Linked DNA regions of Xenopus tropicalis. The protein of the gene in region 1 purifies or fractionates together with the protein of each later gene. This does not show direct contact. Links are inferred from orthologs where the notes say so. Each region holds a gene or a part of one and is shown in the gene's direction. Other genes may lie near its edges.

What was found.
Region 2: the proteins of gan (region 1) and nudcd3 purify together in Homo sapiens (co-immunoprecipitation; 3 studies listed by BioGRID and IntAct, counting the BioPlex papers as one, with this or other methods). This does not show direct contact. The link is inferred for Xenopus tropicalis from reciprocal best matches to the Homo sapiens genes GAN and NUDCD3.

What each region holds. Positions count from the first base shown.
Region 1 is NC_030680.2:52,564,059-52,579,608, reverse strand, and holds part of gan (gigaxonin), read left to right. Parts: intron 1-1,764; coding exon 1,765-1,886; intron 1,887-6,773; coding exon 6,774-6,886; intron 6,887-10,664; coding exon 10,665-10,814; intron 10,815-12,400; coding exon 12,401-12,537; intron 12,538-12,634; coding exon 12,635-12,766; intron 12,767-15,550. UniProt on the Homo sapiens protein: Probable cytoskeletal component that directly or indirectly plays an important role in neurofilament architecture.
Region 2 is NC_030679.2:126,193,266-126,208,815, reverse strand, and holds the end of nudcd3 (nudC domain-containing protein 3), read left to right. Parts: intron 1-379; coding exon of another isoform or gene 380-388; coding exon 389-580; intron 581-664; coding exon 665-936; intron 937-1,955; coding exon 1,956-2,088; intron 2,089-5,408; coding exon 5,409-5,552; intron 5,553-7,495; coding exon 7,496-7,684; intron 7,685-8,156; coding exon 8,157-8,267; 3' UTR 8,268-9,217; downstream 9,218-15,550.

The sequences.
Region 1 (15,550 bases):
GGCTCCATTATCCAAAAAACCCATATCTCCTATAGACTTCATTATAATCAAATAATTCAAAATTTTAAAATTATTTTTTTTTTCTCTGTAATTATAAATGAGTACCTTGTACTTGATCCTAACTAGAATATAATTAATTAAATATAACTGAAGGCATTGAGTTTATTTAATGTTTAAATAAAACAAAACAAAATGTTTTTTGTCGACTTAAAGTATGGAGATCCAAATTACAGGATGATATCTTATCCAGAAAACACCATCCAGCAATACCTGTGTTCAGAAAAGGAATGCCCTGTGCCTAGGATCACCACCTTATGTATTGTTCTTTGCTGGCCTGCAGGGGTGAGGTGCCAATTGGTGTTATCCTGGAGGTGGGCTGCTGATGTCATGGGCATCTGCAAATACGGGGAATGGGGATACTTGCTCTTTCTGGAGTTTGTACTTCACAGGCGGCTCCATCTGTGGCAAAATTGCGTGAAAAAGTTTTTACATGCCCCACCAATTAATTTTTTCTCTTCTGCACTGGGGCTCTGCCCTCCCAGGGGAGAGACAATGCAATCCAGTCAAAGGATGAGGAGGTAACAGCTACCAGCAGCCCAACAATCCACAGTTGACCTGGTGCGTAACCTGTGACACATATGTCACCACCAGGTCCGGAGCAATGTCAGGAGAAATGCATGTGGCAGCTGAGGAAAGTTTTTATTTAGAAATTGAACATTTTTACAACAATACAAAAGAAAAGAGAAAGGAAAGAAAACATAGGTGGCTAAGGCAAGCTTGGTGTGAATTTTAGGATTGTGCATTTAACCATAGATCCCATGCTGCGTTAAACTTAGTTGGAGATCCTCTAGATATATATATATAACCAATTTTTGCTTGGGTAGCAGATCGTTAATAAGTTTCTTCCAGAAAGTGAGAGTAGGAGCTGCAGTAGACTTCCATTTTATCAGAATAGCTTTTTTGACATAGAATAGGAGTTGCAAATAACACAAACGTTGATATGATGATAGCCCCAGGTCTTCCAGCACCCCCAACAAGCATACCTTTGGAGAGAGAATATTTTGAAGGTACAATGTTTCATTTGCATGTTGTAAAACTGCGGACCGTAACTGTTGAATGACCGGACATTCACAAAAAAATACAGGAAGGTGCCCACAGCAGAATTACATTTGGGACATGTGTCAGAAGCTTGAGGATACAACTTTGCCAATCTGTTGGAGGTTAAACAGGCACAATTAATAAACTTAGTTTGAATTAATCTGTCTCTGAGTGCCATTGTTATTTCTGGGAATTTTTCTAGTGCGTCATCCCACATAATCTTGTCAAGGTCCGGCACATCTCTTTGTCGTTTCTCTTTGGCCTTAGCTAATGGGTCTGGGGTCGATTGCCATAACAGGGTATAGTACCATGATATGGCCTTTCTTAGGTTTGGCCTATGTAGGTGTTTTTCTAGAGAATAATCTTCTACTTGAGGGATTGGAAGGTTTAAAAACAGAATTTAACAACAAATTACTTCAGAGAGCAGAGGAAAGGAACAGCAATTACAAATTTACCAGCAACTACACTGACATGAAGTGTAAAATAATATTGCACTTTTGATTTAATGCATAGTTTCAAGGAATCTTGATTGTGGTTGACGGTTGAGCCTCCAGGTGATGGTACAGGGGGGATAATGGTTGGGAAAGTTTCTTTCAGGCTCTGTGTTTAGTATTTGTTTGTATAAATAATTAGCAAGTTGATTGATTTTATTTATTTTATTTCCAGATCCCGTAAACCACTGGCTTCAGTGCGCTGTATGTGCCCTCTTTATGATCCAAATCGGCAGCTATGGATTGAACTAGCACCACTAAGCACACCAAGGATAAACCATGGGGTTCTTTCTGCAGGTATGCTGTGATCTTAAAAAATGTGCAGCAAACTAAACTCATTTAAAGCAACTGAAAGGGTTATTGTATGTATTTTGTAATCATTCAGTTTTAAATACATTTGTTAGTGTTTGCAACAGTACAGGTGCATAGCCCTTGTTTTGCCACCTTACGTTGGTGGAGTGGAGACGTGAAAACTTATTTCATTCAGCCTTGAAATTCACAATTGCAGATAACAGGCAGGCTCCATTTTGTGGACACTGTTATTAAGACAAGCTGTGCACCCTGCCAAAATCTTGTTTCTGTGCCAGTATGGGGGGACCTGATACCCATGTCCATGCACTGGTTACACAATTCGATGGTGAAGAGGGAGAGGGAATGTGAGAAGTGCAGTGACATCTAAGGAGTTCTGAGTTGAAAGTGAAAGTAACTCTCTGCCCCACCCCTATGCCTAAGGCATAGAGGCGGGTCAGGCAATATATGATTGACAGCTGGGACTTTTAAATGCTTATGTAATGTATATAGATGTGTTAATAAAAAAATGACTTTGGGTTACATGTTTAATTTGAAAAGGGCTTTTATTATACAGCTTTTTATGTCTGGGTGACCGCTCCACTTTAACAGCGAGCGTCGCGTATGATGCACGCATGCGCACTGTACCATTAAGGGACCTACGCGCTCTTTTAATGCCGCTAAGTTCCGAAGCGATGGGAAGTGCATCAAGCCGCAGTGCCCCACAATGGCACACATTCACTGACAAAGGCACATGGGGCACACATTCACTAAAAAGGGCACATGGGGCGCACATTCACTAAAAAGGGCACATAAAAAGACCACTAAAAAAGTATAAAAAAAAACTTTTAGGAATAGCATGGACAATAATGAAATGGTAAATCATCCTTGGCCAAATCATTATGAACTACCAGACTAAAGATGTATTGTTTTGGGCATATTGATTCTGGCAAACCAGGAAGTTCGAGATGAAGTCGCTGCAATAGTTGGGGAAATGGGAACAACTCTAGATAGATATGTAACGAAGGTAAACTGGTTGCTTTCTAATCTGTTATCCTCTGGACATGCTAATGTAACGTTGCAAGCATTGTTTTATTTTATGAGTATGCAAACTGCTACCATCATTCCTTAAGGGCAGATCTTTAGAAATAAAAAACCTCCAATGGTGCACTGTGCCTACTTAGGATATTAAAAATTTAATTGTAAATACTTGTAATGTAATTATTTTTGGTAAAGGCGATTCACTAATGATGGGAGAGCACACAGTGCACAGAACCAATGGGACGAGCACAAAGCACACAGCAGGATGGCAAGTACAGGTATCGGATCCCTTATCCGGAAACCCGTTATCCAGAAAGCTCCGAATTACGGAAAGCCCGTCTCCCATAGACTCCATTTAAATCAAATAATTCAGAATTTTAAAATTGATTTTCTTTTTCTCTGTAGTAATAAAACAGTACCATGTAATTGATCCCAACTAAGATATAAATAATCCTTATTGGATGCAAAACAATTATTTTGGGGTTAATTAATATTTTGTTGATTTTTAGCAGACTTATGGTATGGAGATCCAAATTATGGAAAGACCCCTTATCCGGAATACCCTTGGTCCCGTACATTCTGGATAATGGGTCCTATACCTGTACTTGATAATTAGTATGGCAGCTTCCTTAGCCTTCCCAAACTTGCTTTTGTCTGCTGCTGTAGCATTTTTCTTTCTCTAAAGTTATCTATTATTTATTTATCTGTTATTTGATTATTGAAACTTAGCAGTAGCAGTTGCATTTCCCACCCTAGGCTTATACTCGGGTCAATACGTTTTTCCAGTTTTCTTAGGTAAAATTAGGTACCTTGGCTTATATTCGGATCGGCTTATACTCGAGTATATACGGTAACTCCATGCTGCTCTCATGCTAACAAATTACTATCATTTACTTCTAGAGCATCCTGTAAGTGAATCTACTATATTGTAACTAGAAATCTGAGATGGCATCTCCTGGACTCTTCAGGAGGAGCACCCATTCATATTAAAGATGAAATATCTAAATATAACTCTAAGAGCTATTATCTGGATACTTAGGACTTGCCTTAAGGCTTTTTTTAAAATACATTTTAATATTGAAACCCAGAATGGTTTGTCATTTTGTATGGATTTATGCTAGCTTAATTATCATTAAGTACAAGTTGTTAATTAGGGGTTCTCTGAACTGGCCCTCCCCTCCCCAAGTGCAGCAAAAATTGTTACTTGTCATTTAAATTCTGATGACAATTAACTGCTTTTTGGTGGCCTATTATGGTGGCCACCAACTTTGGTGCACAAGGCTACATTTTATTATTATTATTAACATTTATTTATAAAGCGCCAACATATTCCACAGCGATGTACAATAAGTGGGTTTCATACATTGGACATACAGAGTAACATATAAAGCAAACAATAACCGATACAAGAGGTGCAGAGAGCCCTGACCAAAAGAGCTTACAATCTACAAGGAGAAAGGGTTGAGACACAAGGTGTGGGAATGGGCATGACCAGAGTTGTGACAGGTGTGGCACAGGGTATTGCTTTTAGCAGCACGCTGAGGTTATGTTAAACTAGATTAGGGTAAGCTTCTCTAAATAAATGCGTTTTTAGAGATCTCTTGAAGGCAGAGTGATTGGGGGAAAGTCTGACAGTTTGTGGGAGTGAATTCCAGAGAAGGGGGGCAGCCCTTGCAAAGTCTTGAATGTGAGCATGTGAGGAGAGAATGAGAGAGGAGTTGAGGAGCAGGTCAGTAGAGGAGTGTAACAAGCGGGTTGGATGGTACCTAGAGATGAGTTCAGAGATGTAGGGTGGGGTAGAGTTATGAACTGCTTTGAATGTGAGAGTCATTAGTTTGAATTTTATCCTGGATGGTAGGGGAACCCAGTGCAGAGATTGGCAGAGTGGCATGGCAGAGGAGGAGCGGTTGGAGAGGTGTATGAGCCTGGCAGCAGTATTCCTTATGGACTGGAGAGGGGACAGTCTTTGGAGGGGGAGACCAATTAATAGGGAGTTACAGTAGTCCAGGCGAGATATGGTGAGAGAGTGAAGTCACCTAGTACAATGGATGGGGAATCAGAGGAAAGGAAGTAAGAAAGCCAGGCAGAAAAGTTGTCAAAGAATTGCGAGGTTGGTCCAGGAGGTGGCATATGACCGCAATGCGAAGCGAACCAGGGGAGAAGAGCCTAATAGAGTGAACCACAAATGAGGAAAATGAAAGAGAAGGAGGAAGTGGAAGGACTTTAAATGAATAGTGGGGGGAGAGAAGGAGTCCTACCCCACCCCCTACCCTGTTTCCAGGTCTGGGAGTGTGCGTAAGGTGTAGCCCCCAAAGGACAGAGCAGCAGGTGAGGCAGTGTCAGTAGAGGAAAGCTAGGTCTCAGGTATTTCAAATAAGTTAAGCCAGTGCTGTCCAACTGGTGGCCTGCGACCCCCCTCTGTGTGGCCCCCCACCTGTTTGGCTGCTTTGATGGCTTACCTTTGTGTAAGCTTTAAATGGTATCAGTACTGAGATTATTTACCCCCCTGCATTGTTCTCCCCTCAGATTTAGGCTGTAAACCCCCTGTATTGTTTAAAAATGTAATCCCCTGTGTTGTTCACACCTTTTAATCCCTGAATTGTTCATCCCCTTGCAGTGTTCACACCTCAGGCACACCTCACCTGTTCACACCTCAGACATTGTATGTACTGCCTGGCCTATGCTGTCTGGCACACACAGGTAGAGTAGGCAGAGTATGGCACACACTGGCAGGGTAGGGCAGGCAGAGTATGGCACACACAGGCAGCATAGGGCAGGCAGAGTACTGCCTGTGTGTGTGCCATAGTTTATTAGCAGTTGGACATAGCCAATAAATGGTCCCTAAGGTGTGTAATTATGTGCTGGGGGTTACTGTGCTATACACAGGGGAGGAGGAGGCATATTGATTTAAGGGTATGTCTTAATATGACATAATAAAATTCTTTCACAAATGAATGATGGTTGATATCCCTGCAGTGAGGACCATTTGGGTTTTTGCTGCACTACCACCATTGTGATAAAATGGGTGTGGTTTGAAGTAGGCGTGGTTTAAAGGGGAGTGGTCAAAACTGGCTTCTATTAGCGGCCTTCCACCATGTATGCTAGAGAAATTCTGGCCCTCGGCACCGCAGAAGTTGGACAGCACTGAGTTAAGCGATTTAGTGATGAAAAGGTCATGGATGGAGGTGATTTTGTTGCAGACGGAGCGGGAATTCCAGAGGGCACAGGAAATTTGAACAGAGGCTTTGGGTATAGGGGTAAGGTTTCTGTACTTTAAAGGGGTACAAGGTGGGTTTGGGGAACGTGGCCCTAACAAAACAGGGATAGGGTAAGGGCCAGGGTTGGGGGAAATGTCACCGGCAGCAAGTAACAGGAGAGAGAGGAATGCAAGGTGAGAGTGGGATTTGTATATTCTTGTTTTATGTGAGGAGAAAGAGTTAACTGGAGTTATGGAGCAAAGCACTTTAAAGACTTCATGTGCTGAGAGGGAAGGAGAGGAGAGTAGAGAGGCAGTGATTTCTATACCTTTCTGACTTGATGGAGGAAGTGGCTGGAGATGTTTTAAGAAACATGAAAGTGCGAAGAAGAGGAAAGCAGGATAAAACATTTTGGGGTAGGAAATAATAAACTACCAGGAACAAGCAAAGTTGTTTTCTTGTGATTCCACATTTTTAAGATTGTTATGGGGAGCAGGGCCATCTTTTTTGCTGTGCATTGTTTACTGGGAGTTCTGTTTTACAGGGGGTGCCTTTTTTTTGGCACTGCTAGTGAAATAGGCTTTAGATGTCCTTTAATACTTCTGTATTTGGAACTGCATAGTAATTCACATCCCACATATTTTTCTTCATTTTGCAGAGGGATTTTTGTTTGTACTTGGAGGTCAAAATGAAGACAACGAAACCCTGGACACTGGAGAACAGTATGATCCTGATGACAATGCTTGGAGTCCACTACCTCCAATGCTTGAGGTAATGGCAAGGCATTGTTATCTTCTGTATGATGGGTAGCCTCACAGATTCTCTCCTGCTACATCTTGGGCTATTTGGCAGAATCAGCTGTAGGTCCAAAAGTAGACATTCCTTTTCTAAATAAGCAGCAAGTTGCCATAAACAGTACTTGCCTGTGTGTTTGACATTGTTTGTGACACCTTGGATTGTCTTTGCATTAATAAAGAAACTTTCCAGCCTAAATTAATATCAAATTGTCAGTGGTTATAAAGTTAATTGTAATTGCAGTTGAAAGCAGTATTTGTTTATACATTTTATTCAGCAGAAGCCAGCCAAGGAGGACTGCTACATTACATTACATTACATTACTACATACCTTATACTTTTATAATGCTACTGCTTTGGCACTATGGCCTTCCTTTGCATCAGCACTGAATGCTGAGATGAATCATGAAAATGATTCTAACTTGCTGCCAGCATATCCATAACAATGCATTTTTTATTCTCTTAAACCTTACATTTAACAGCTCTAATTGATATTTGTTGCAGTGCTTTAAATGTATTTACTGTTATCTTTTTCATTAAATAAGTTTTCTAACAGTACTATATATTTTGGAAAATAATGGAAACCAATGATATTTAGGAATGATTTATGATAAGATATTCTTTTCGTTAAAAGTTGCTACTTTGGGAAATGGGACACGATAGTTAGGAATGCTTTGTAGGAAGTTTGCAGGGCTTTGTAGCTCCGTGGGTGGGGGACAAAATACTTTTAATTGCCCCTTATCCACTTATTTGGAAATCACTTGAATGAACCTGGTGCAGTGTTATGAAAGCAATTATGACTTATTATTTAAGAAGCTATAATCAACTGAATAAACTGCACCAGGCAATTTCCATTCAAAGTAAATGTGATGGGGGTAATATCAACTATTTTGTCCCACACAAAGTACTGGAGTCACAAAACACTTCAAATCCTCTCAAGCCCTTAAGGTCGGCCATACACGCAGCGATTTATGATCTTGACCACTGGTTACACGAAAGATCGTTCCCATCCTCCACAGACGTTTAGGGCTGAATCGTCAGATATGGGGGTAGAAACAATAGGAATTCTACCTCCTTCTGCTGATTCAGCCCTGACCGTAGATTTTGCTTGGGCGCCATCAAAATCTTTTAACCTGGCTGATCGACGAGTCGACTGATAACCGCAGCTTTTTGTGATATCGGTCGCCTCGTCGAGCCGCCATACACGCAGCGAATATCGTACAAACAAGGTTTAGCCTTGCATTTGTCTTTTCTAAATTGAAATTGTTGCAGGCAAATGTGTGTATCTGTTTCAATTCTCTTCCCTAGATCACAAGAAAGAATAGGACACCATTTGTGCTGGGATACCTTCCCTTGCCTTGGGCTTCTTTTATAGAGCTGTGACTAAGGCAGGCAGAATAGGGTGTGTACACCCTGACACTGGCTGCTCAGTCTGGTTTTTCATCTGCTTCCCAAGCATAATAAATGAAGCAGACCAACCAGCACCACAAGCCTATTGTAACTTCTTCAGATCAGAGACTTTTGCTGTGGGTTGGACTGAAAACATTTTTCAGTGTCCTACAGAGAAATACTGCGGCATTGTTTTAGAGTATTCAAACTTTTCATTTATTTTATGTCATTTAGGTTAATTCAGAAACTTGCTTAGTATACCCCAAAAAGCTTTTATCAGGGATCAGTGTCCCTGCAGTCAGCTGTCAGTATGCCCTCTGTGACTGATCAAGCAATGCAGTCAATCTAGTCAACTTCCAGTACAGACCTGTGGCTAACAGTGGAGATGCTGGCTAATTATTCTTACAGAAACAAGCATGTTTTTCGGATTCTCAGCTGTTCTGGCTCGAGGCAAGCCAAAAACAAGGAAGCAATGATATACAGTGAGGAACATAAGTATTTGAACACCCAGCGATTTTGCAAGTTCTCCCACTTAGAAAACATGGAGGGGTATTGCACTGCTGCACATAAGCATTTGAACACCTGGCAATCGGCAAGAATTCTGTCTCTCAAAGACCTGTTACTCTGCCTTTAAAAAGTCCATCTCTGCTCCACTCATTAATCTAAATTAGTAGCACCTGTCTGAGCTCTTTAAAGACTGTCCACACCACAGTCAGTCAGACTCCAACTACTACCATGGGCAAGACCAAAGAGCTGTCAAAAGACACCAGAGACAAAATTGTGGACCTCCACAAGGCTGGAAAGGGCTACGGGGCAATTGCCAAGCAGCTTGGTGAAAATAGATCAACCGTTGGAGAAATTAGAAAATGGATGAGGCTAAAGACGACTGTCAGTCTCCCTAGGACTGGGGCTCCATGCAAGATCTCACCTCGTGGGTTATCACTGATGATAAGAAAGGTGAGGAATCAGCCCAGAACTACAAGGGAGGAGCAGGTCAATGACAGTTTCAAAGCTCAGTAGAACACTACGCTGTCATAGTTTTAAATCATACATTGCACGGAAGGTTCCCCTGCTCAAGTCATCACCAGACCAGATGGTCTGAAGTTTGCCAATGACCATCTAGATGATCCAGAGGAGGCATGGGAGAAAGTCATGTGGTCAGATGAGACCAAAGCAGAACGTTTTGGTCTAAACTTGAAACTCACCGTGTTTGGAGGAAAAATAAGGATGAGTTGCATCCCAAGAACACTATCCCTACTGTGAAGCATGGGGGTGGTAACATCATGCTTTGCGAAGGGGACAGGACAACTGCACTGTATTAAGGAGAGGATGAATGGGGCCATGTATTGTGAGATTCTGAGCAACAACCTCCTTCCCTCAGTCAGAGTATTGAAGATGGGTCGTGGCTGGGTCTTCCAACATGACAATGACCCGAAGCACACAGCCAGAATAACAAAGGGGTGGCTCTGTAAGAGGCATATCAAGGTTCTGGAGTGGCCGAGCCAGTCTCCAGACCTAAATCCAATAGAAAATCATTGGAGGGAGCTGAAACTCTGTGTTCCTCAGCGACAGCCCCGAAACCTGACAGATCTAGAGGAGATCTGTGTGGAGGAGTGGGCCAAAATCCCTGTTGCAGTGTGTGCAAACCTGGTCAAGAACTACAGGAAACGTTTGACCTCTGTAATTGCAAACAAAGGCTTCTGTACCAAATATTAACACTGATTTTTTCAGGTGTTCAAATACTTATGTGCAGCAGTGTAATGCAAATACATTCTTCTTTCTAGATACGGAAACCATATAGCTCTACCCAAAAAAGTATGCATTATAATATTGATTATGATGTGATTTACTGTGAAATGCTATTTCTATGATACTAAAAACTGAACACCTTTCCCCCCTCCTTTTTTCCTTCTGTATCCCCCTCCCCATATCAAAAAGTTATAAATAAAGATTAAAAAAAAATAAAAATACAAATACATTCTTTAAAAATCATACAATGTGATTTCCTGAATTTTTTTTTTTAAATGCTGTCTCTCACAGTGGGAATGCACCTACAATGTGAATTTCAGACCCCTCCATGATTTCTATGTGGGAGAACTTGCAAAATCGCAGGCTGTTCAAATACTTATGTTCCTCACTGTATATTTCAACACTACCAAAAGACACACTTACTTGCCTTAATATTTTTTTTCCTTTGTCAGTGCCATAAAATAGTTTGGTCTAGTACATGGAAATTCTTTAGGCTATAGCTAGCTGACCTTTTCCAGTGTTTTATCCAACATGCCCTAAGTAATTTTACAATACAGGGACACATGCTGCAGCATCAAGTATATAAATATTGAATGTAGGTTATTGTGTGCTTTAGGCTAGGCATAGTTTCGGCATGGTGGAGATAGATGGAGTGATCTACGTACTTGGAGGAGAAAATGGGGACTCCGAACTACTCTCTATGGAATCATATGACACATGCACAAAAACATGGAGCAAACAGCAAAACATGACTATGGTTAGGAAGGTAAGGCCCCTGATATTGTTTATTGTTAAATATGAAAAGCTTAGCTAAATGATTATGCATGCACTACCTTCCATACGCTTAGAGGGCTTATTTATGCACCTAAGTGCGTGGTTCACATTCAAATAACAGTAAAATTAAATCTCGTCTACTGCGGTAGACAAATCTCCCTGAAATGCTTTCCACCAGCAGTATAGGGAATTGCTGGTGGGAAAGCACATGCAGCACTTTGTTTTCTGAAGTGGCCCAAATTCTCCTGCGAAATGAAGCCACTACCATATGCCCGCTACCCTTTGACACACAGCCGCTTATTTAAATAAACTATAGTAGTCTTTCTAAAGCAAGCACACAGCTTTTACTAGTGTAGAGCAACAGTACATAAACTCTAGTTCTCCTTTAAAGTAATTACAATATTAACTAAAGAATTATGCTAGCAATGATGTACATAATGTTTTGGGCTTCTGTCCCAGCCCAAGCCAACCACAGCCCTTTAGCAGTGAAAAATGTTGCCTCTAAGTTCCACCCAGAAGCTCCTCATCTTTTTTCTGCTGATTTACTGTACATAATCTGTGCTGCCGTCAGTTATAAACTTATGGGCCAACGCACAATATTAATTGATTAAACCGTGTAGTTTTGGAATTTATTAAGTGTAAAAACCATGAATTTTTGGACTTTATTCAGTGTACAACCAAGAAAAACTCTTACCCAATTAGTTTCATTTGTGCTTTTTATATTTGTTTTTTTAATAAATGCTTTCAAAAAGTAAGTTTAATTGTGGTAGAAACAAACGTGAAAATTAAAGATACGAATTTTATGAAATTTGCTCCTAGGTTTTTTTTTATTTAATAATATTTTTCAGTCCAGTGACACAAGTTGCATAAGTGAGGAATGGCCTGATTTGCATTATTGGTAAAAACTCATAATTGGCCTCCTCTTCCACCCTGCATGTGTTTGCATTTATAGGAGAGTAATCTACTCATCCCTATACCTATATATAGCAAAATCTGGCTCATGTGTAGTGACAGGCAGATTCCCCTTCAATGGCACACATATGGGCAGAAGGGGGTCAGATCTGTGTTTCCATTGGCAGTGTGCCATTAGCCTTATAAATTAACTAAAATATTTTTTGTTAATATTTTGTGGGGAATTGTAAACACTAAGGAACCTGTCTTTCTGCTTGTTCATGGGAGGGTTTTTTTTTTTTTAATTAATTCTCTTGGCCACACAACATTGTTATTAGAAGTGTTCTAGAAAAAAAAATAATTATAAAATAGATCCACATGACAAAAACAGATGTTTCATCATTTGTTATTTTTATTAATTGTTTGACTTTCCCAGACTGCTTTGTCCCAATTTCTGCCAGAACAGGTATCTAAAGTCTGCACTCTGTGTGGCATGAACTGATTTTAAGGCCCCTGGAAATTATGCATGGTATTAGATAATATGTCTTGACTTTAGTCATTTTGTAACTTCAAAAGTGATTAGCTCTTGCCCCCTTTCTCCACCTTTATTGTAGCTCAAACAAATCCATATTTTATTTGTAGCTAGCACTCTTGTTGACTTTCCTGGGCTTAATGGATTAATTACAGATCGGCTGCTATGCAGCAATGAAAAAGAAAATCTATGCAATGGGAGGTGGCTCCTATGGAAAACTGTTTGAATCTGTTGAATGCTATGACCCCAAAACTCAGCAGTGGACTGCAATATGCCCCTTGAAAGAAAGGAGGTGAGTATTTTTGTTATTTAAAGATAATCTGCCATTAATGAGCAATGGTTTGTATTTGTTGGCAGTGTCATATTCCTATAACCTTTCTGCTTCGTAGGTTTGGAGCTGTTGCGTGTGGTGTTGGCATGGAGCTGTACGTCTTTGGTGGGGTTAGGAGTCGGGACAATGATAATCAGAACAGTGACATGGTGGCTTGCAAATCTGAATTCTATCATGATGACTTTAAACGGTAATTTTTTTCTTTGTGTTTGTACAGGGTTCATAAATGTTTTAGTAGCCAGGAATATATCCGACTGCTGGAACACAGTAAAAAGCAATACAAGGCCTACTTGGCCTGTCCTGTATGAGGTTTCCTTATTCTTGCATGGGTTAACTTCCACACTCCAAAAACATACAGTCAGGTTACCTGGCTCCTGATAATACAAACTTCATATGCATGAATGCAATAGGTCCTTTTTCATATATATGAACTGACTCATTATAATGGCAAATAACTTGTTTTTTTTTTTGTCAGGCCAGCATTTATTACAAGGCGTATACTATATTGCATTTTATCTTTAACATATAAATGTGTTGGTTTTTATTGTACATTGAACTTTAAACTCCATGGTGAATGTTAATCTCTCTATTTAAAGAACAGATTTCCTGCTGATTACAAGTTCTGCAGTGCAAAGTTGCTTTATAGCCAGGCTGTTAATGTAACTTATTACTGTATGCATTAGAATAATGTAAACTCACTGCTGTGGTAATGTTTCTATTGTGTTTTGCATACTTTATTGGAGTTTCAGAAGCATACTTTATTGGAGTTTCAAAAGCTATTTGGTTGCTAAGATCCACATTACCTTAGCAACCAGGGTGTGGTTTGAATGTTTCTATTGTGCTTTGCATACTTTATTGGAGTTTCAGAAGCATACTTTATTGGAGTTTCAGAAGCTATTTGGTTGCTAGGATCCAAATTACCTTAGCAACCAGGGTGTGGTTTGAATGAAAGACTGATAATATGAATAGGAGTGGACCTGAATAGAAAAATAAGTAATATAAAGTAATAAGTAATAATAACATTGAAACTGTAGCTTCACAGAGCAATAGTTTTTGGCTCAGGGGTCAGTGACCTCCATTTGAAAGCTTTAGAGAGTTAGAAGAAAAAAAGCAAATAATTAAAAAACTATGAAATATAAATAATGAAGACTATGTAAAAAGTTGCTTAGAATTGGCCTTTCTATAACACACTAAAAGTTAACTTAAATAGGAACCACCCTTTAAGTAGTAGTGCTCTCTTTACCTCCTGCATGAGTTATTTGTAATTTTTTAATTTAATCTGTATGTTAGTTTATACACCTATTTATTGTACAGTGTTGTGAAATATGTTGGAGCTTTATAAATACAGTTATAATAATGTTTTAATGTCAAGTTTTTTAATTTTATTTCTTGAAATGCAATATAATGATGTATTATATTCAGATTATGTAATTTGATCTGCAAAAATATGTTTTTTTAGTAGGCTTGATGAATCTGGCTCTTATTATCACTATATTTATAAAGCATCATGTTTGTTTTATCAGTTCCTGCCCCCTTGGATCTTACAGTATAAGGTCCCAATTACATTCCCATAATGCAGTCACGGATTCCAGGACTGCAGTACTAAAAAATTGTCACTGTTATGCATATTTGTTACAAAAAAAAAAGTTATATATAAGAACTCAGTTTTTAATGTTATATTCTTCTTGCTGGAAACTGTCATACATGTAAGTTGATTTTCTTTCCTAGAGTTGATATGAGCTGGTATGTTATTGCCATCTAGTGTCTGTTAAGGAAACTAATAGTTATCTGCAAATGTAAGTTGGGTAGCACAAAAATGTTAGTGCCCCCCTGAGCATATTGCAACTTATTTAAGTTGTATTTGAATATCCATTCTGAGGCTTTATAGTGATACGCAAATGCTGCAGTGTTTTGGGTTATTTTTCCTATTCTCACACTCCTACACACTTACAGTACTGGGAAGTCACTCTGGCTTTCGGCAGTGTGATCCTTTTATAGTTTGGAGTGATGTTTACATTTGTACTCTAGTCTAATGGAAGATCACTGCTCCCCATCACTATAAAAGCCTCTTTTAGCTTGACAGTTCCTGCATCAATCAAATCACTGTGCAAGGCTAGAAGCTTAAGGGATAATTCAGTATGCATGAGGCTATTGTAGTCGAAAGCCTTACTGCAAAATGTTGTCTCCATCCCTTTGCTATTATGTCTGTATATGAGACTCTGCAGGAACAGACTAGCACCCCTGAGCCCTGCATAGCAGCAGCAAAATATTTATGCATAGGTATAGTGTTGTGGTCAGTGATCTGAAATGTAAACTAATTACAAACAAAGAAACCTACTACATAGTGAATTACCCAGTGAGCTTTTGGCCCTGCTGAAACCTTCTTTTCATTTTTTCTGGAGGATTTTTACCTTTATATTAAAGAAGACACATTTTGTAAAAAACAAGAATTGCCATTGCATTGTACTCCTCTAATTATAGAAGGATTGTGCTTAAAAAAGATGTCTGGGATTAATTTATTGAGAATTTTTCCCCAAAAACCCTACTAGTCCCACCCATCTGTCCCACTTCCAGCTGCCTCCTTTCCCAGGCTGTGCATGGAGGTCAGCGGCACTCGGCACACGTCAATATAGGATAGGAACCAATTGGCAGCTAGGCTGACCTGATAGGGAACTGAAGCCTGTCTCTGCTTCTGTGACTGCAGGGCTGTGATTGGCTGTTCCCCTCCTATTGTTCTTCTGGCAAGGACTGCAAGAACACACCTGCCTTCATTTCAAACAGGACAGCACCATATATTATTCATTATTGCCTGCAAGATTGGGTGGGGTTAACTTATGTATGTCTCCTTTAATACTACAGGTATGGGATATTTTATTCAGAATGCTCACGATCTGGGGTTTTTCTGGATAAAGGGGTCTTTCCATAATTTAAATCACCATACCTTAATTGTACTAAAAAATATTTTAACATTTTT
Region 2 (15,550 bases), on another chromosome or scaffold:
ATATATATATATATATATATATATATATAAATTGCAGAGTGAAGAGCACGCCACCATTTAAGTGCGATACCTGGGTGCCAGAGCAGTAAATTTTGAATAAAAATAAAAAGTGTCGGCACTCACAGGGTTTCCACGAAAAGTCCTTATAGACAACATGTCATAGTTAGATGCAATAAGGTGAGGTTTATTACCGAAACGTTGGACCAATAAACCTCACCTTATTGCATCTAACTATGACGTGTTGTCTATAAGGACTTTTCGTGGAAACCCTGTGAGTGCCGACACTTTTTATTTTTATATGTGTATATATATATATATATATATTTCCCTGCTTTTGCGTGCTCTCGCTGCAAGGAAGTACATTGTGTTTTCCTTTCAGGCTGCAGTTATGGAGCCGGAGCTTTCAGACCGCTATGACCATGCTCTGCTGGGAATTTTGCAGCATGTAGGGAACATCCAGGACTTTTTAAATATCTATTTTGGCTTCTTGTATCGCAAGACGGACTTCTACAGGCTCCTCCTCAACCCTCAGGATCGCCTTGGATTCCCCCCAGGAGCTGCTCAGGCCATGGTAATGCAGGTAAGTATCTTGTAGTATTTACATTGCTGGGTTGGGGCCTTGTGGGCCTTGTGCTGGCAGTGAATCTCATATGCTCCCTCCCAGACTTTTAAAACCTTTGAGAGGCTGGCACTGAAGGACCATGAGCAGAGGGTGTGTGACCTGCAGGAGAAACTGAAAAAGAAGGAAGAGAAGGAGGCAGACACTGAGGCTGCACCACCCCCAGTCCAGGAAGTCATCATTGAGACTCCTGCAGAGGAGGCAACACTGGAACAAGACAAAGCAGAAGAAGAGCCACAACAAATAGATACAAAAGGAAGAGCAGAAGGACGAGAAACCAGTGAAGACTGCGCAGGACAAGCAGCTGCTGAGCCCAAGTAAAAATATTTCTTCCCTGGAAATGTTTGTTTGGTGGTGTCTTTATAAACAATGAAATGTCCAGCCCTCTGCAGACTAGATGCTGGATAACTAAACTCCCATCATCCCCAAAAGATGATTTTAGTTGTAGTCCTGAAACAGCTGGAAGCAAGGGTATTGCTATATTGCTGTTCTATTTTACTTGCTGTTTGCGTTCCTCCATTGTTTGTACTCTTTTTCAGTATCCCTGAATCTTATCCATTTTACTTGCTTTTCCATACATCTTTGATTCATTCTCATTTTTCCCTTTTCATAGTCATTCCTCTTCTTCTTTTTTTTTTATCATCTGGATCTGTCTGCACAGCATAGATGGTCTCCCTGAAGCCTACCAGAGATTGTTGAACTACTACATCCCTTTGATCATCATTAACTTCTGTAGGCTTGTATTTTGCCCGTTCCTACTCTCCATCGTTGCCCTCTTCTTCATTAAAGGAACAGTAACAGCAAAAAATTAAAGAGTTTTAAAGTAAATGAAATATAATGTACTGTTGCCCTGCACTGGTAAAAGTTGTGTGTTTGCTACAGTAACTCTACTATAGGCTATATATAATAAGCTGGTGTAGGCCCGGGGGCAGCCATTCAAGCTGGAAAAAAGGAGAAAGGGCACAGGTTACATAGCAGATAACGGATAAGCTCTGTAGAATACAATAGTGTTTTATCTGTTATCTGCCTGTGCCTTTTCTCTTTTGAACAGCTTCCCCCATGGCTACACAGCTGCATTCTTTATATAAACCATAGTAGTGTTTCAGAGGCAAACACACCAGTTGTACCATCGCAGGGCAGCAGTACATTATATTGGAATTTCTTTTATACACTTGAATTTTTTGGTGTTACTGTTCCTTTAATGTTTATAGCTTGAGAACTCCCTTATCCTCTTTGAGTTATTGCAATTTTTTTTCTATGTTAGATCATTTGGTTTTTGGAAATGATTAAACCCCAACTCTTATATATAAGTATATGTATATTTGCATCCATTCAGGGAACAAGAAGACTACCAAGCTGACCCTGACAGTTACAATGGAGCCATAAGAAAGAATTATGTTTGGTCTCAGGATTACACAGATGTGGAAATTAAAGTTCCAGTGCCTAAATCTGTAATAAAAGGTCGGCAGGTAAGCAACACCATATTTATTGAGTAACTTGTGATATACAGGCGGGCAGATGTAGTTTTATTACAGAAAACTGAGAAGAGACAAGTCCCAAAGACTTGTGTCCTAAAGGGGGCAGTGTAAGGCAATGTATGGTTATGATGCTAACTGGCAAGGTGTTTGCCTTATAGAGCCATTTTCCCAGCAGAGGGTGACAGAGATCAATACATTGAAGGATCTAGAAACTGCTTTGGGGAGGGAAGTAAATAGAGTGGTATGCCGCAGTGTGTAACTGTGTAATTCTGCATGTCTGGCATATAGTTTATCACAGTAAATATTAAAAACATATACCAGGTATGAAATCCATTATACAGAAAAATCTGAAAAACGATTACCAAAACCTTCCCAAACATCCTGCTGGATAATAGATTCCATACCTGTACAGTCTTTTATCAGACAGTAATGTGTTATATGATTATATCATTTTCCCATGTGAAAGACTGGAATCTGTCATTTGTAAACAATAAGACTAAACTGTGCAGCTGTAATGCCAATTTATTTCCCAGTATGGGTGGTAGTACAAGTGAGAGAAAGTATACAGATGCTGCTACAGCGTTAGGGTGAAGACACACCGAGCTACTAGTAGCAGCTACTTGTCACGGCTGCTAAAATAGACAGTGCTGATCATTTACTGGTAATTGTCTCTATGTGTGTTTTAGCAGAGGCACTTCTCAGTATTGTCTATGGCATGGTATTTTCTGGAGTTAAGTAGCCATGAAAAAGTAGCTGCTACTAGTAGGTCTGTGTGTTTTTATCCTTGTGTATTTCATGCTACTATTCTGGGCAGCCCCAGGTGGTGTGATAGAGAACTTCGCTGGGCAGGATCATATTGGGCCAGCAGGATACTGGGACAGAACCTTATGGGCCCCTTCGAGAGACCTCTGCTGCTGGGGTGTGGGGCTCTTAATGTAGCGGTGGCCCCCTGGTGGAACCCAGACACGCCACTCATGCCTGCCTCTGTCCTTAGGATCATATGTGACCTGTTCCCGATGCTAAAGCTAGGGACGACCTCCTGCCATCAAATGGATTAGTGGCAAAAAACAGGGCAAGCTCAATGCAAAGGCAATACTTCAGCAACTAATAAAAAAAAACTGTCTTAGGATATCACTGACTTCATTAAAGTCAAAATTATTTTTAAGATGAACTTTCCATTTAAATGGGAGAATATTTAAGAGGTTACAAAGGATATCGATACCCATGAAAACTATTTTAAAAATACATATTGATATTTTAAGAAAACTTTTAATAAAAAGAAAGGCATTTTAGTAAATAGAAAAATAGGAACTATCTCACGTATGAAGATACACCTATCTGCAATGTAGATGTGTTCACATCCGTCACAGTGTACTTACGTGTAACATAAATACCAACATACATAAATAACCTCACAATTTGTCATGAATGTCATGACAATAGTTGTGGTAGGGACAGAGAACCCTGGGGAGATATGTTTGTATGCATATTTATATTTATTTATATAGTGCTGCTTGTATAGCAGGGAAAATAAGTATTGAACATGTTTTTCTTAGTAAATATATTTCTAATGGGGCTATTGACATGAAATTTACACCAGATGTCTGTAACAACCAAAGTAATCCACATGTACAAAGAAATCAAAACAAATAAGTCCATACATTATGTGTAGTAAAGTGAAATGACACAGGGAATAAGTATTAAACACGCTGAACACTGAAATGTATTTAATACTTAGTAGAAAAGCCTTTGTTGGGAATGACGGATTAAGGCGCCTCCTGTAGGAGAAACTAGTGGCGTGTATTGTTCAGGTGGGACTTTGGCCCATTCTGCCACACAAACTGTGTTCAAATCTTGAAGGTTCCAGGGGCCTCTTCTATGAACTCTGATCTTCAGTTCCTTCCATAGATTTTCAGTTGGATTCAAGTTGGTTGATTGACTGGGTAATTCTAGCAGCTTTATTTTCTTTCTCTGAAACCAACTGAGAGTTTCCTTGGCTGTGTGTTTGGGATCATTGTCTTGCTGAAATGTCCAGCCTCGTTTCATCTTCATCATCCTGGTGGATGGCAGCAGATTCTATAATTATAGAATTATATGAAGTCTGCCAGTACCATATGCTAAAAAACATCCTTACACCATGATGCTCCCATTACAAATTTGTAATGAATGTATATTGGAACATTGCTTAGAATTATTATTATTATTATTGTTATTATTGTTATTATTAGGCAAACATTATTTTTGGGGGTTTTTTTCTGTGTTTGCATAATGAAAAAATTATAATGCCAAGCAACATCCAAACATAAATTTGTATTTTTAAAGTTACTTGTAACTATAATTGATATTAAGAACAGTGGGTTTTATCCCTTTCTATGGAGGTTCTGTTATCTTTGCATATTAATTTAAATGAATTGTAACACCAAAAATTGTGTTTAAAATGTAATGTACTTTTGCCCTGCACTGGTAAACCTAGTGTGTTGGCTTGAGAAACAATACTATAGTATATATAAATAAGCTGATGTGTAGCCATAGGGCCAGCCAAGCTGGAAAAAGGAGAAAAGGCACAGGTTACATAGCAGATAACAGATAAGCTCTGTAAAATATAATGGTGTTTTACAGAGCTTATCTGTTATCTGCTAAATGACCTGTGCCATTTAGCCCTATTTCAGTTTGAATGGCTATTCCTGTGGCTACACAGCAGCTATATTTACATAAACTATAGTAGGGTAGGGGCAAACACAGGGCAACAGTACATTATATTTGAATTACTTTGATACACTTTAATTTTTTTGCATTACTGTTTCTTTAAAACCACAGAACACTATTAATGGCTGTATATTGAAAAGAGAATATACAGCCGTGTTCATTTTCAATTTAATTATGGCCAGTTAACAGAGTTAAAACAAGTGACTGTGAGTGGGCAATACATTTGCTTTAGCATGGAACTTTGACCAAATAAAACCTGGGTTCACATTATTATCTCATATTACAGCCCCCAACAATGAGCTTATAAACTGTACATAGATAATAATAGGATGTCCTATCCAACCACAGATATCATGGGGATTAAGAAGGAGCTCTGCTTATGGAATCAGGTTGGGAACAAGCTGCATATTATTGTTTACTAACTCATTGCACAGTATCACTGTGCTTAGCTGCTGACTTGCATTGCACAAAATTACCTTTTCCAAAATGGCCCCCATTCGGTATCTTCTGTGATACCTGTGCTACTGTTGCTGTATTGAGTAAAGGACAGAGCACCTTTGATTCTAATGGGCGTATGACTCCCTTGTCTGCACCCTCTTCCTCAGGTGTCAGTGGACCTGCGCAGTAGCTGTATTCGTGTGGCGGTGAGAGAAGGAGGAGGGGAACGTGTTCTGGTGGAGGGAAGCTTTACTCACAAAATAAATGCAGAGACCTCTCTCTGGAGTCTGGAACCTGGAAAGTGTATTGTGGTAAGACTCTTTAATAAGATACTGAATCTGACTTGTGTGCAGCTTGTTAAGGCATATATAATCACTATGAATAATCAGGATCTTTTATTTCCTTTGAGACTGGTGTCAATCATGAGCTGAATTATTCACGTTCCCATGTGTTCTTCCATGCCACTCACTTGCCATTTTTTTAGGTCAGTTGTAGAGGTGGGTGCCTTGCTAGGTGACAGTAATTAATTTTGTTATACAGAATAAGCCCTCTGTTACTGCCATCAGCATGGTCCCACCATGCACCCTGCATATAGATCACATGGGCCATGTCTGAGAGACCCACAACCTGTGGTTTAATCTTCAGTTATTATCAGCTTATTGAGACTTAGCAGGACCATACTCCCAATAGAACTCCTAAATAATTTCTACACTTAGATCAATAGTCAGCTTGGCCATACTCCTTCCATTCATCTCACCACTTAATAAGAACAAGTTGCTGGCCAGCTCCTTGGTTACTACCCACTCCTCTAAACTTTGTGGTTATAGGTGGGTGTATAGCAGTTTTTAAAGAAAAATGAACTTATACATTATAAATACACTAAAGCGTTTGTTTTCTCTCTTATTGCATATTTAAAGTTTCCTATTCTTGGTACATCTGGCATTTGGGTGCTTTATGGTTCTGCCATTAAATTTTACTCTCCCTGCTAGTTTTCTTTTGGAAACATATTTGATCTCATGGATTTTGTTATTAATAATGATACAAGTTTGCATCTGTATTCCTTCCATACTGTATTAATAACTACTTCTCTGGTTTATGTAGTATTCAATTTGTATATATTCAACTTGTATCCTATTTCTGATTCACGGGTGTTTATTCAAGTTTATTTGCATTGACTCAAAGTTCCCCTAAACGCCTTATCCCTGTCTTGCTTTATGGCTAAGATATTAGATATTTTTAATTCTATGAGTGTCCATTGAGCTCCTAAGCTCTCTGAATAAACATTGTATAGCATTTCCGTGCTCCCCATATTTCATTTTCAGAAACTTCTCTTGCATCTTTCATCCTTCCAATGTAGTTTGTGTGTAGTCATATGGTAGATTCCACCAAATTTTCATTCACTCCCTTATCATGACACATCTTGATTTGCTGCAGTCCCCTGCTGTCTGGTTTTTCACTCTGCAGGCTGTCTGCTTTACTGTCTACAATAAATCCTGCTGCAAAGCTTATTCATCTTGCTAGTTGTTCCTCCTCCCCTGACAGTGCCTCAAGAGTCCTTCTAGAATTATATCTAAATAAACCCAATGCCTACCCAAATTCTTTACATTCCAGTAAATCACCACTTCATGAGTTTATGTTCATCCCATGATCTGCTTCTTTTACAACCTTTCTCCATTATGCCTTCAAGACTTCTTCAGGGGCTCTACGTCTCTCTTTTTCCCTTTGTGCATTGTAATACTTGCCTCCACATTTCACCCATTGCTTTCCTAAATGGGACTATAAAACGCAGGATGTTGGTATGCAGCTAACAGTTCTGCTTCAGGGTCCAAAATTGTCTCATCAGTCCTGCATTCTTCCCCTTTTTGTTCATTAATAATCCATATGCAAGTTTGCAACAAACCTATTATCATTATTCTTAATAAAGCGCCAACAAATTGAGCAGGGCTGTTACATCCTTCACATGAGTCCCTGCCCCAGTGGAACTTACAGTATTAGATCCCTATCATATTCACACACTATGGGCAGTTTTACCAGGAGCCATTAACCTGCCTGTTTGGAGTGTGGAGAAAACTACCCAGGGGAAACCCATACATACACGGGAAAATATACAAACACATAGGTGATGTTGCTCATGAACCTTAATTCTCTAGGCTGCCAATTAACAAAAGTGCTGCAACCCCTCCATGTATCATTCAGAACGTGATGAAACTTTGTTAGTACATTGTATTTAAAGTGTAGTGGGAACTCTCCACAGATCAGCTTGAGTAAGTGTGGCGAGGTTTGGTGGAATGCCGTATTGGAAGATGAAGAAAAGATTGACATAGACAAGATCAACAAAGAACGCAGCATGGCTACTGTGGATGATGAGGAACATGCTGTTTTGGACCGACTAACATTTGATTATCACCAGAAGTTGCAGGGGAAGCCTCAAAGCCATGAGTTGGTAAGCCCTAAAAACAAAAGTATCATGATCCACACATTTCCCTCCTTCTGTTCATACACTGATTCACATGTTACTGTACATTTCTAAAGTTCACTAGACTCCGTTTCCACACAGACAAACCTGATTCCTCAAACTGATAGGAAGTTAAATATATAGGTTGACCTAATCACAGCTATTTCTTTAACGTTTGGATGTGGCCACAAACAACTCATTTGGTTTCTGTGCTTTAGTGCATTGGAAATGATGGCCATAAGTCTCTCTTCCTAAGCACACAGTCACACATCAAACTGGGGCAGTGGTGGCCCACCAAGGCTGCAACTTGAAGGGCACCCCTTTGCAGTCATCAGGGCCTCCCTCCTGGCGTGCCCACCCCCAACCCTGGGGCCCACCGGGTTTTTCCTGGTGTCCCGCCGGCACACAGATTTTGCCTATACCTGTTGACATTGTATCTCCTCCTGTTTGTTTCTGACAGAAAGTGCATGAAATGCTAAAGAAAGGATGGGATGCAGAGGGATCACCATTCAAAGGTCAGAATTTTGATCCAAGCATGTTCAACGTCTCGCCAGGGGCTGTTCAGTTCTGAGCTCAATGGACACACACTGGAAATCCTCGGTGCCCTGGCTTCAGTTTGCTGATTCACAGCTGGGATACGATGCCTTTTATTAACCAAGTTTTATGTCTTTTGGTAAACATTTGACTTTGGTGCTTGCTGAGACTGGATGAATTTCTGTGTGAACTCGACATTTACACATTTGCAGTTACACATGCAAATGATTTGCTCTGTATGAGGAGGGATATGGTCAATCTGTATTAATCATAACAAACCATACCATGCATTGGCTCCAGGGGTTACATCCTCTTCTACTGGTAATGTCACTTAGCATGAAACTTGCTAAACTTTTATTCCCTTAGAGGAGACATATATCCATCTGTTTAATTTTTCTGTTTATTTCACAGTTTTTATACTGCTTATATCATGAATGTGTAACAGGAGCATCCTTTACTGTGCTCTCTGGGTGCTGGGCAGACAGAATAGCAAAAAAGCTTGTTTTTCTGAAGCGAGAAGTATTTCCTGATGCTTCTCTGCACAGTTCTGTAGCTTCTGTCACACTAAGTAATAGAACTGAGCAGAACAGTAGAGGGTGACCCCTTTACACATAATGATATTTGCAGTGTGCAAACTACTAACATAAAAAAGTTCATGTAAATGAAAAAAAAATGCTCAGAAGCAGAATTTGACATTGTTTTATGGATGGGTGTATGTCCCCTTTAATTGTAATATTTAGCAGGTAGATGGGGAGCGCACTGGATCAAAAATGATCTCATAAAGCAGTTTACAGATGTCCGTCCCACATGACATGAATAAAACAACATATTTATAAATCGTTTGAAGCTTTCTCTATGGGTAAGATTGTATCCATAAACATAGTATATGAACCATATTGTTTAAAATTGTGTTTACATGTATTTAAAGGGGAAAGCCACAGTTTTGTTTAGTTTGGGTCAATAAATAAGAATTGCGTTGGAAATGTATTCTGCCTATTGTTTTAATTAGAAAAAGAAAAAAAATGTTATTTGTTTTAAACAGCACAAATGGTGAACGGTTTCATTTTATAGATAATCCCACTTCTTGGTTCCTTAGTGCAAGTGTGGGCTGATTTACAAAAATAGCTGCTAAACTGCACCAACGTAAATACCCATGGCAACCCATAAGATTGTTGCTTTCCTTTTTTTTAACTTGTAGAAGACCTGTTCAAACTCATTTCTTATTGGTTGCTATTGGCAACTGTACTTGTGCAGCCCAGTACCTATGTTTGTTCATAAATGAGCCCTATTGGGTCACATTCTTGTATAGTGAATTTTTCCTCAGCTTCTTGTGACTCCCAGGATGCCTTTGGGCTAGCGTATTAGCATAATATACATTTCCAAGATGGCAGCCTGCTGCAGGTCTATGGTAGATGGATTTCAGCTCTGGATTATTTGTGCAAAGGACCTCCTAGCCTTCAAAATTTTAGTAAAATTGGAGGGGATGATGATAACACTCAGAAATGCAAGTTGGTAAAACTGGGGTATACTAGCGCCAAACTGCCATGCAATGCTGCCAGTTAGGAATGCCGCAGTACTGTGCCAAGTCCTGCAGGCCACTGGCATACAGCTTATGAGTGAGTGATTTTATTGGCCAATTCAGCTGCTGGTTAAGGCCAGGGGTGCATCTGTTTTTTTTTCTTTGCATGTAAACAGTGATAATAAATGAACCTTAAAACTGCCAGGAATATGTCTGTGAGTAGTGTAAAGTAATGGCTATGAATATATACAGCCCAGCACCCATACATAGAAATCTGTACTATCCTGTATTGTGCAGTGAGTAGCAAGGGCAAGCTGGTCATGTCTGAAGCACAAACTAACCGTGTCCTATAGCCTATAGCCATTTAACATGGGAGAATATGCTCCATAATAAATCACAGCATTCTAAGACCCTACAAAGCAGACTAAGGACAGGACACTATTCAGGCTGGCTATGCCTGTTTAGCAAAGGATAACATTGCTCATCCCACTTACACCTGAAAAAATGTTACTTGTTTAGTGTCAAATGGCTGGATACTGTATGAGGGAGCATGTACGACTGGTCACCTGTCTTTCCTTCCCTTTGTTTAGTTAAAGAATCCCCAATCTTTTTTACTTGTGAGCCACATTCAAATGTAAAAAGACTTGGGGAGCAACACAAGCATGAAAAATGTTCCTGGGGGTGCCAAATAAGGGTCGTTATTGGCTATTTGATAGCCCCTATATGCAACCAAAACCTGCCACCAAGCCAAGAATTCAAAAATAAGCACCTGCTTTGAGGCCACGGGGTGAAACATCCAAGGGGTTGGAGAGCAGCATGTTGCTCACTAGCCACTGCTTTGGGATCATTGGTTTAGTCCAGCGTTTTTCAACCAGTGTGCCGCGAGATGTTGCCTGGTGTGCCGTAGGCAGGGCACCAATGTACTAGGGGGGCACTGCTCTTGGCACCAATGTACTAGGGGGGCACTGCTCTTGGCACCAATGTACTAGGGGGGCACTGCTCTTGGCACCAATGTACTAGGGGGGCACTGCTCTTGGCACCAATGTACTAGGTGGGCACTGCTGCTGGGCACCAATGTACTAGGGGGGCACTGCTCTTGGCACCAATGTACTAAGGGGGCACTGCTGCTGGGCACCAATGTACTAGGGGGGCACTGCTGCTGGGCACCAATGTACTAGGGGGGCACTGCTGCTGGGCACCAATGTACTAGGGGGGCACTGCTGCTGGGCACCAATGTACTAGGGGGCACTGCTGCTGGGCACCAATGTACTAGGGGGGCACTGCTCTTGGCACCAATGTACTAGGGGGGCACTGCTGCTGGGCACAGAGTTAAATTTTTTAACATTTTCTAATGGTGGTGTGCCTCATGATTTTTTTCATGAAACAAGTGTGCCTTTGCCCAAAAAAGGTTGAAAAACACTGGTTTAGTCCAACGTGAAGAAGTTTTTCTTATCTGCCATAGCACCATCTTTGTTTCTGTTGGAAACATTGCCCAGCATACCCTTGCTGAAAATCACTTCATACAGTGTAACAGGCATGTGTATGGCCAGCTATATTGTTACTCATCCCCAAGAGTTCCTGCCAAGTGGTTCTTACAATCTAAGGGCTCTGGCACACAGGGAGATTAGTCGCCCGCGACAAATCTCCCCAAAATGCCATCCCACCGGCGAGAATGTAAATCGCCGGTGGGATGGTATACGCTAGTTGCCCTGAGAGGAAACCTCCGCGATTTTGCGGGCGACTAATCTCCCCGTGTGCCAGAGCCCTAAGGGGTGCAGGGTCTGGGGAATAACCTACTTTCAATACATTATAGGACATGTAAAGTCTACTTCACGGGGGGTGCCAAAATATTAGGCACCCCCTAGTGAAATATAGCGCAAATTTTTCCTCCAGGCTGGTGCTTCTTTTAGGAAAGAACCTAACATTTTGGCACCACCAGTGAAATAGTCTTTACAAGTCTGGTTTGGGACCAATTACAAATGTCAGCTGCTTTTTCTAAGGAAACTGAGAAGCAACAATGTTTGGTTGCAGAGGTTGCAGCTCCTGAAAAGAGATAAAATAGGGACCATTGATTGCTACGGCTGTGTACCCATTGGGACGGCAGAAAATGCTGAAAACAATGCATTCGTTGCTATATAATTGATCTCTGTACAGAAACCCACACACAGTAAAATCTAATAACAAAGAAAACCCCCCTCAGAGGGGCCCATACATAGACAGATAAGCTTGGTCTGAAGGGCCAAATCGGCAGCTTAAGGGCTCTAGCACACGGGGAGATTAGTTGCGACAAATCTCCCTGTTCGCGGGCGACTAATCTCCCCGAAATGCCATCCCACCGGCGAAAATGTAAATCGCGGAAGTTTACATTTTCGCCAGTGGGATGGCATTTCGGGGAGATTAGTCTCAGGCTAATCTCCCCGTGTGCCAGAGCCCTAAAAGGTGGTTCACCAACGAGTTACATTTTAGTTATAGAATAGGCTATCCTTAACAACTTTTCAATTGGCCATTATTTTTTATTTTTCATTGTTTTTGAATTATTTTCCTTTCTCTTCTGACTCTTCTTCAGCTTTCAAATGGGGGGTCAAAAAGTATTACTCTGTGAAGCTACAATTGTATTGTTATTTTTATTACTTATATTTCTATTCAGGTCTTCCTCCCTTCATTTTCCAGTCTCTCATTCAAACCACTGCCTGGTTCCTAAGTTAAATTGGACCCTAGCAACCAGAGAGCTTCCAAAATTCCAGACGGGAGAGCTGCTGAACAAAAAGCTAAATAATTGAAAAACCACAAATAATAAAAAAGGCCAATTGCAAAGTGTTGCTGAATAGCACTCTCTACATCATACTAAGTTCATTTAAAGGTGAACAATTCCTTTCATTCTGCCCGTATATGGCCACTTTTAGAGCAGATGTGACCACCATGGTGCCCAGCACTGAACCGACTGCTCCCGATCTGTTTCCTGCCATAGGCAGCATATTCCCTATTGATCTGAATAGAACAATAAGGCATAAAGAGTGTTATGACAGCTGCAGTTTTTCCCTATTGCAGGACATAAATCGCCAGATGTCCTTGGTCCTTTGCTGTTTAACTTGTTTATTAATGACCTGGAGGTGGGCATAGACAGTACTGTTTCTAGTTTTGCTGACAACACTAAATTGTGCAAAACTATACGTTCCATGCAGGATGCTGCCACTTTGCAAAGGGATTTGACAAAACTGGGCAGCAAAATGGAAAATGAGGTTCAATGTTGACAAGCACAAAGTTATGCACTTTGGTAGAAATAATAAAAAGTATACCATAAAAAAAAACAAAAACATGACAGTATCCCATTAAGAGGAGTTCGGGAACAAGCATAGTATCCAAAGCTATTGTGATACTAAAATCTACAGTTAGTATTGATGTTGGTATATATGGTTTATGTATGTGAGTGGATAGGTCAGTGTGGGTCTGTATGTGAGTGGATAGATAGGTCAGTATGGGTCTGTATGTGAGTATATAGATAGGTCAGTATGGGTCTGTATGTGAGTGGATAGATAGGTCAGTGTGGGTCTGTATGTGAGTGGATAGATAGGTCAGTGTGGGTCTGTATGTGAGTGGATAGATAGGTCAGTATGGGTCTGTATGTGAGTGGATAGATAGGTCAGTATGGGTCTGTATGTGAGTGGATAGATAGGTCAGTATGGGTCTGTATGTGAGTGGATAGATAGGTCAGTATGGGTCTGTATGTGAGTGGATAGATAGGTCAGTATGGGTCTGTGTGTGAGTGGATAGATAGGTCAGTATGGGTCTGTATGTGAATGTATAGATAGGTCAGTGTGGGTCTGTATGTGAATGTATAGATAGGTCAGTATGGGTCTGTATGTGAGTGTATAGATAGGTCAGTATGGGTCTGTATGTGAGTATATAGATAGGTCAGTATGGGTCTGTATGTGAGTGGATAGATAGGTCAGTATGGGTCTGTATGTGAGTATATAGATAGGTCAGTATGGGTCTGTATGTGAGTGGATAGATAGGTCAGTATGGGTCTGTATGTGAGTGGATAGATAGGTCAGTATGGGTCTGTATGTGAGTGGATAGATAGGTCAGTATGGGTTTGTGTGTGAGTGGATAGATAGGTCAGTGTGGGTCTGTATGTGAGCGGATAGATAGGTCAGTGTGGGTCTGTATGTGAGTGGATAGATAGGTCAGTATGGGTCTGTATGTGAGTGGATAGATAGGTCAGTATGGGTCTGTATGTGAGTGGATAGATAGGTCAGTATGGGTCTGTATGTGAGTGGATAGATAGGTCAGTATGGGTCTGTATGTGAGTGGATAGATAGGTCAGTATGGGTCTGTATGTGAGTGGATAGATAGGTCAGTATGGGTCTGTATGTGAGTGGATAGATAGGTCAGTATGGGTCTGTATGTGAGTGGATAGATAGGTCAGTATGGGTCTGTATGTGAGTGGATAGATAGGTCAGTGTGAGTCTGTATGTGAGTGGATAGATAGGTCAGTGTGGGTCTGTATGTGAGTGGATAGATAGGTCAGTATGGGTCTGTATGTGAGTGGATAAATAGGTCAGTGTGAGTCTGTATGTGAGTGGATAGATAGGTCAGTATGGGTCTGTATGTGAGTGGATAGATAGGTCAGTATGGGTCTGGAAGTGAGTGGATAGATAGGTCAGTATAGGTTTGTGTGGGTGCTGGGTTCACTTGAAAGGGTTTAACTTGATGGACTTTGGTCTTTTTTCAACCTTGTGTAACTATTTAGGTGTGCCATAAGGTTAGAATATAACCTGAAGGAGTCATTGACAGGAAAATGCAGAGATGTAGCAGTTGTGTTGGCAGACTATTACCTAGGTGAGTCCATGGAAACATAAGGTAGTTGTTTGGTAATAGAAAACTTTCAACTCAGAAAAAGCTGACCGTGTAGCTCTAATATAGCAGGTTGATTCGCTGTGTATAGATGCTGAGAATGGTATCCAGTGCAAAGTGTTCTCCAACATTGCCTATAGTGCTGTATTCCCTTTCCCAGGGTATTTTTCCAATTTACCTCAGTACCAGGGATAAGAGACAGTGAGCACTGGGCACACACAGATACATGCTAGTATGTTTATTTTCTATACCGAAGGAACCAGCAACTTTGCACCAACTCCCATGTGCTTTATACATGTATACGGCAGCACTGCACCATGTTACAGCCTGGATATTTATCATTGTGCAGAACTACTATGCCCTAGTGTCGTATGTTCCTAATCTGCAGCATAGGTACTCAGTATTGTTATACACAGCATCCTGCTCATTACTGGTTACTAAAAATACCCAGTGTCATGATGAATGTATCAGCTCAGTGCATGTACCTGAGAGGTACCCAGTGTCATTATATTGAGCGCAGCTTCCCAGTGCCTCTTCCTGCCAGCTCCGGGTAGGCAGCTAGTGACTTTGTGGATAGGGGGGCTACAGTCTGTGTGGGGGAGGGAGAGGTATGAGGGGGTGTACGAGAGCCACAGTATTACAAATCTGTCTAGTTGTTGTCATGACAACCAGCCACCGCTCTCCATTTCTGATTGTGTGTTTGTGTGAGTGTTGCACCTTAGGAAAAAAAGAAAGAAATTCTCCTGTCTGTGCTGTGTGTGGTAACAGCTCCTATAAAGGAAGGAATCAATAGGGTTGGTGTGGATTCATAAGCATAATGGACATTGGGCAGAATGTAACATAGTAACATACTGTAGTTAGGTTGAAAAAAGACACACGTCCATCAAGTTCAACCTTAATGCCTATATATAACCTGCCTAACTGCTAGTTGATCCAGAGGAAGGCAA